2 linked regions of the Caenorhabditis elegans genome follow. The protein of the gene in region 1 purifies or fractionates together with the protein of each later gene. This does not show direct contact. Each region holds a gene or a part of one and is shown in the gene's direction. Other genes may lie near its edges. The genes, in order: R05H5.3 and ZK829.7.

Region 1 (3,231 bases):
AGGAGTCAATTTGAAATGAATTCTGTAGGAGAGAAGTTCGCGTATAACTCAGATTTCACACATTTTTGACGCCGAAAATTTGAACTACAATAGAGTGTATAAATAATTGTTCTTGTGGTTAAATAGTTGCTAGTAACTTAGATAGAAATCGTATAATTACAGATTTACAGAATAATTCTTTCAGGCCCACCACGTCGTCATCCCTTTCTTGGCAGTCTCCAAGTGTGATTTGTTAGTGAATCCCGTGAAAAACCGTATCTTTCAAAATATCGGCGTTTTCGGTATTTCTTGCCCAATGCTCACAATTCTTGGAATAACTGCTGAACGCCTTCTGGCTCTGATCTTTGCTCGTTGCTACGAAAATGTTAAGCTTCATATTGGAGTGTTTATCGGTGTTTTTGCAGTGAGTAGCGTTATTATTTTTTATTATTAAAATTAAAATAAATAGTTCAGATGCTTTGCGACATGGCACTTGTCTATTTCTTCTTCCTCGATGAGAAATTCGATCAACCGTCCATCTCATACTTTATGGTTCCTGATACTTCCGGTTATAAAGTGAGTTTTCCCAGGGAATTTGGAAATTTCACCTAGGCGGCATTAAAACATAAAACCATAAATTTCAGATGAATTGGTTATGCTATTCCTTACTTGCTATTAATAGTGTAAATTTAGTTTTCAATTATTTTTTGGTAAAGATCAACACTATTTTGAAAGAAAAGTAAGATCAGATTTAAATTATTTTAAATGCAAACACTGAAAATTTCAGATGGCGTAATTCTTTATCAACTCGTTATCAAATGGAAGAGAACATTATAACCACGAAATTCTCCACTTTTATCTCATTTATTCATGTATTCTTCTTCTCGCTCTATCTCATTTTCACCCTAATTATTCGTCTTCTAGGACCAGGATTTTTGAAAACACAAGCCGATTTGATGTCGGTCAGAGGTGTTTACATCGTGAGAATATGGTGTTCGACAAATCATGACTAAATTACATTTTTTTCAGACTATTCCCACGTATAATTTGATTATTGGTATTGCTTCATGCGTCATTCTACGGCATTTGCAAAGACAAAAAGTTGCAAAAGTTTATGCGGAAGTTACATTGAAGTATTCTGGAATTGACGGGGCTCAGATTCATCAAGAGGCTATTTTAAATGTTTGGAAGACTAAGTCATCAGGACGGAAGTGACTGATTTATAATTGAAAAAATATATTACACGACAATAATATTTATGTTTAAATCGATGTTGTGCACAAAGGTGTGCGCCTTTAAGAAGTACAGTAACCCATCCCAGTTTTTTCGCAACTTTCGTCAACTTTTATACTTTTTTATCTGAAAAATTGTTTTATTATAGAAACGAAATTGCAGTACATGAAAAAAAGTTTTTTTAACTACGAAAAACGTTTAAAAAACAGTATTATGGGTTACTGTACTTCTATGGCACAATCAATAAATATTGCGTTGATTCTTTTTCTAAACTTTGTTCGAGCGAGAACAATTATTGTGCTTTTTTCATTGAAAAAAATTTACTCTTTATTAAAAAAAAATAATATTTCGAATGTAATCTTGCTTTATTTGAGAGTCAATAGTTCCGTAAGATCAACAAATTCATGAGTTCTCTTTGCAAGCGCGCTCTGTGGAGCGGCGCCAGAAATTGAATTCGCCGCGAAAAAGAAGCGCTAGAACGGAAATTCGAAAATTTTCTTCTCATTTCCTCTCATTTTATCGAGTTTCTTCGCTTTTTTTTTCATTTTTTGCTGCGTTGGCTAACTCCAAGAGCTTTCTCCACAGATACCCCGGTTTTTAAAGTCTTATATTTAGCAAATTGTGAGCTTTTGAAGTTGTTTGATGCGAAAACTCTTCGAATTTTATTGCAGAATTTATAGCTTATAGTTAACCTTCATTTTGTTCGCATTTCTTCCGCCGGTGCCATTTTACCATTTCAATTTATGAATACTTCTAGCTTTTATTTTTCAGAAATGTCCGAATTGCTCGCTGGAACCAAGTTGATCAACCAAGACAGCGAAGAGCTCGATGCTGGCGAGCACCTCAAGGGAAAGGTAAAACATTTCTTTTTTTTTTGAAGAAAAAATGGCAAAATTAATATTTCCAGGTCGTCGGACTCTACTTCTCGGCCAGTTGGTGTCCACCATGCCGTCAATTCACTCCAAAGCTCACTCGATTCTTCGACGAGATTCGCAAGAAGCATCCAGAATTCGAGGTTGTTTTCGTGTCTCGCGATCGTGAAGACGGTGATCTCCGTGAATACTTCCTTGAGCACATGGGCGCCTGGACTGCAATTCCATTTGGAACTCCAAGAATTCAGTTAGTTTCAGCTAAAATCGAATTTTAAATGTATACAAATAATTATTTTCAGAGAGCTTCTTGAACAATACGAAGTGAAGACGATCCCATCAATGCGCATTGTCAAGCCAAACGGAGATGTCGTTGTTCAGGACGCTCGCACCGAGATTCAGGACAAAGGAAATGATCCAGAAGCTCTCTGGGAAGAGTGGCTCGCTTTCTACGATTAAATTTTCTCCACCAACGTAACACCAAAAAATTTCAAGTTTCCTTTCACTCTAATTTATCAATTGTCACAATTTCTCACCATAATTTCAAATATTGCGGCTAATTTCGTACATTTCCCATAAAAACTTTCGCAGCCAAAGATTTATTTACATTTACAGTCTAGATTTATTCGGATCCACAGACTTCGTGGTTGGCTCTGACGACACGGACAATTTCGATTTTTCCACACTTGTAGGTGGTGCCGAAGTAGTGATGGAGTTTTCCGTTTTCTTCTTGAACTCTTCCAGCTTTTCCTTCAACTCTTCAGCGGTTGGTCGTTTTTCAGCATCTACTTGCCAGCACTCGCTCATGATTTCCACCATTCTACTCGGCATTGATGGTGGTGGAGGGAGGCGATATCCGGCTCGGGTTTTGCGCTGAAAAATTCAATACACATCTAGATCCTTTTTGGCAGTATTTACCTTGACTTGAGCAGCTTTCATCTCAACATATGGCGACTTGAATGGGGTCTCGAAAAACTCCCACATCATGATTCCAAACGCGTAGACGTCAGTGTTGAAACGCGTTTCCCCGTTGTCCCAAACCTCGGGAGCCAGCCATCGGATGTTGCATGGCTTTTTAAGATCAACTTTGTAGACGGATTGGGCTCGGCACATTCCAAAGTCAGCCATCTTGACGACTCCCTTGTGAATG
Region 2 (4,193 bases), on another chromosome or scaffold:
AATTGTAAGTTGAAAGACATTTAATATAAAGGTACAGTATAGTAAGATAGGATACTACGAAAGTATACTCAGAATATATAAAAAAGACCAAATATCGATTTTAATTTGCTCTAGTTTTTTTTTAAAGTTTTCAGTTAACGTTTTGGTAATTTGGCGAATTTTCAAAAAGTTTGGCCATTTTTATTAATATCAGACATTGTTGCAAGCTGGCCCTCGCATAATGTTTGAATATATTAATAATTTCAAATAATAAGTCATACAACGCAAAATGTATCTTGATCAATTTTTTAAATCATAATAAGTGAAAACTGAGTAATTACCACTTTATGACGGAAAGTTAAAAAAAAACTTCAAAATGTTGACTGACTGTACTATGATATTTGCTCATCATATCATATGAGTGTTCCCTTCAAAAACAATTACAGTACCCCGTGAATGACTGGTCAAAAAGTGGAATTCTGGGAATGCTTGTAGCCGCAGTTATCACCAATTCTATTATGATCATCTATGTTTTCTTTGCACGAAAAATTCACTTGTCACTGAAAGCATGCACATTATCATGTACTACGAAAAGATTACATTCAAGTCTTCTCAAATCTTTAATTGCGCAAACTATAATTCCATTAATAAGTACAATCATCCCTTTATTTGTTGTATGGTTCCTCCCACTTGCCGGTGATAATTATGGAGTGTAGGTTATAGATTCATAAGTTCTTGAAATTTTTAAATACTTTCATAATACTGTCAACATATATTGTGCCTATACTAAGCGTTTATCCTGCAATTGATCCAGTTGTTATCACTTGTTCATTATCAGATCACAGAAATTCTGCATTGAAGATATTGGGATTCCAAAAAGATAAAACCAATGTATCTAAACGTTGATTAATTCATTTATAGATTTGGAAAAAAACGTTTATGAAGTTATTTAAAATGTGTATGATCTATTGATTTCAAATGTTCACAACGTCGAACCACAAATTGATGTTTCCTCATTTTCGATGTACTCAAACTATTTTATTATCGAACTTTTTTATGGAAAAATTTCAAATTATTTTTTTGCAAAATATTGGATTTTTTTGGAGATATTTCAAATTATTTTTTTTGAACTTTTTTTTTGAAAAATGTTTCAATTTTTTGGAAAATATTCGAGATTTTTTTCTACTCTCATTCTCCCCTAGAAGTCATGATGAAATTCGTTTGTGTGCACGTGAAAAGCACATGTATTGAGGGACGAATAGATGCTTCGGCATCTGTAGGGTCCTGCGTCTCGTTACTCTCCCACTGTTATTTTTCATCTGCAATATTTTCGTTTTCCATTTCACAAAGTTTATGTCAGTTAGTTGTTGTTCCGGTTACTTAAAAAGCTTATTCTCAAAAAGCCTAAGTTGATAGAGCTTTCAAAACATCAATAGTTAATTTGAATCTCTAATTCTAATTGTAAGTCAAGTAGATTCTTTCATAATAATCGTAACTGTAATTTTGCCGGAAAAATGCAAAAAAGTTTTCTTTATTAAAAACTAGTATTTAAAATTCCGCCAAAAGGCACGCAAAGTGCGCAAAGCCATTCTTGACCCCGTTATCGTGACTAGGCGCACTTTCCGTTTTTCAATCGGATTTTTTGTTTTCGGCACGTTGTTTCTCAACAAAGTTTAATGTCTCAAGTGATTGAACCAATTTTTCTATCATTTAAACTGAAAACACTAATATTTTATTTCTCTCCAAGTGTTTACAATGTTGATTCTATTGATTTTTCTCTAAAAAGTTGTGTCTCTTCAAAAAACACACACGTGACCCATGCTCTCACTTTGATGGTTTATTCTTTGTTAACAAATTTATTGATATTGAAGTGTTTATTCAACCTATTTAATTTAATTTTCCTTGCAGAAAATGCCAGCAACAAACCGAAGAATTTCTTTGGGATCTCCAAAGGATCTTCGGGAAGTGAAGTTTTTCGACGAGGAGCCAATCCCAGATGTCCCACCAAAGGGAGCACGCGTTAAAGTTTGTTATGCAGGAGTTTGCCTTACTGATAGAGAAGTTTCCAACACGAAGCAAGCAAGAATTACCAACGGAATCAAAGATACCAGCTTGTTTCCAGGTTTGAAATTTAGATTAATTTGGCTTGAACTAATGAAAATAACATTTTCGAAATCCGTTATTGCAGGATATGAAGTTTCCGGAATTGTTGAGTCATTCGGCGCTGAATGCACACCTGGTGACTATGATCTGACTATTGGAGATAAAGTAATCGTATGGCCAACTGATGAGATGTGCAGTCATGGTTATGCCGACTATGTTGCTGTTCCAACTCTCCATTTTCTTGTGAAAATTCCAGAAACTCTTTCAATGCATGTAGCATCTATTTTGCCTGCTGGAGCTACCTGGGCGTTGTCTGCTGTTCTTCAGGTTTGACATTTTCCACGGTTTTTTTCTTCAGTATTAATCAACAATTTTTTCCAGGCCAGACCGATAGTCGAAGCGTTTTCACAATCAAAGGGATTCTGCAATATTCTTATCGTGGGAGCAGGAGGACTTGGACTTTGGCTTCTTAAACTCGCCAAGCATTTCCTAGCGATCAACAATGATAAAAAGATCCGTTTGATGGTTGCTGATGCCAAAGAAGAACGTTTGTCTCTGGCCGAAAGAAACGGAGCTGACTTTGTAGTACACTGGGATGATTCCGAATTTGAAGAATATCTGATTATGAGAACTAAGGATGTGGCTCGTACCGGTGTCAATGTTGTTTTCGATTTTGTGACATCTCCAAGAACTGTCACTCGATCATTGAAGTGTCTCGCTGAAGGTGGTGTCTTATTTGTTGGAGGTCTTTCCGGTCTTGATGTTCAACTTCCAATCAAGCACGTTGCTAAAAACAGACTGGCCATTATGGGAGTTACGAGGTACTATTTGAAGTTTTTTTCTTTCTTTATTTCATTTACAAAATTTCCAGAGGAAGTATCGAACAACTGAAAAACCTTGTAAATTTGATTGCCGGAGGCCAAATCGATGCTCCAGACTACAGAGTTTATCCAGTCGATCAAGCGTCTGCAGTGTTGAAGCAATTGTCGATGTCGGAGGTTGAAGGTCGTGCCATTCTCGAAGTTTGCGATCCCTCTTCAGCATTAGATGCAGATCAGAGCGGCGGTGTTCCAATTCCTGCCGCCACTTCCGAATAATTGCTCAATAAGCCTCCAAAGGTGTAATAATTGTATTTCCCATTTTGCCATTTCATACATTGTCCCGACTCCCTTCACTCATAATTATATAGTCAGAAAGTCTTATTTCATCCTGTGCATTTACTCTATTACTTCCCAGACATCGGTATTTTGAGTATAGTGTTGCCATCTGCTTTTCAAAAATTCCCTGTAACATAAAATCCACATTTTCTCCCGTTTCTTGCTCTAGATCCGCATCCTTCCAAATAATTTTAACATGAGAACGAAAATAATTTTTAGTTAGGTAATCTTAGTTTGTAAAAAATATGTAAACAAACGAATTCAATGAATATTATAAAAAAACAAATTACCGTTACAGTACTTCATTAAAGGTCATAACCAATTATACTTGGAATAAAAATAATTATTTCCTATTTTAACGAAAAAAAAACTTACGAAGTGAAGTCTCCAATGACACCGGAACCGCTCCCGACGTGCCAGGCAGATATGAGGTACGACGTGCTGGCGAGAGCAGGATTCGCTCGTCGTGGAAATCTTCATTTGCCACATTCCATCGTCGAAACGCCTGTTTTTATGCCTGTTGGAACACAGGGAACTATGAAGGTATGGAATAAATTAAGAATAAAAATTCTAAATTGAAAAAAAAACTTTTTCAAAAATGTGAAATTTGTTTGTGATCATAATAAAGTATAATACAAAAAATAAAACCTGTTAGTTTTTTTTTTAACTTTCAGTGAAAATTTTTTCAAATTTTTGAAAAGTAGAGATTTTATGAAGTTTACAGCAAGTTAAATTTATGAACATTTTTTTTCAGATTCTCATTTTTCGATTTTCCCTGAAAAAAATTAAAAAAATATTTTCTCGAGTTTATGCAGTTTCATATATAATAAACTTACAGGGAATCGTACCGGAACAACTAGTCTCGATGGATTGTCGAATTCTCCTTTGCAACACGTACCATCTTGGACATCGTCCCGGTCATGAACGAGTTAAGGCTGCTGGTGGATTACATAA

Evidence for each region.
Region 2: the proteins of R05H5.3 (region 1) and ZK829.7 fractionate together in Caenorhabditis elegans (co-fractionation; one large-scale study listed by BioGRID). This does not show direct contact.

What each region holds. Positions count from the first base shown.
Region 1 is NC_003280.10:10,195,642-10,198,872, forward strand, and holds R05H5.3 (protein-disulfide reductase), read left to right. Parts: upstream 1-1,983; 5' UTR 1,984-1,985; coding exon 1,986-2,066; intron 2,067-2,119; coding exon 2,120-2,331; intron 2,332-2,383; coding exon 2,384-2,540; 3' UTR 2,541-2,677; downstream 2,678-3,231. Other genes in the region: srb-6 (Serpentine receptor class beta-6), read left to right, coding at 185-403, 454-555, 624-718, 767-959, 1,009-1,194; R05H5.4 (Tyrosine-protein kinase), read right to left, coding at 2,691-2,954, 3,000-3,231.
Region 2 is NC_003282.8:11,959,230-11,963,422, reverse strand, and holds ZK829.7 (Enoyl reductase (ER) domain-containing protein), read left to right. Parts: upstream 1-1,887; 5' UTR 1,888-1,890; coding exon 1,891-2,101; intron 2,102-2,167; coding exon 2,168-2,409; intron 2,410-2,463; coding exon 2,464-2,903; intron 2,904-2,953; coding exon 2,954-3,179; 3' UTR 3,180-3,518; downstream 3,519-4,193. Other genes in the region: tgt-1 (Queuine tRNA-ribosyltransferase catalytic subunit), read left to right, coding at 3,630-3,782, 4,078-4,193.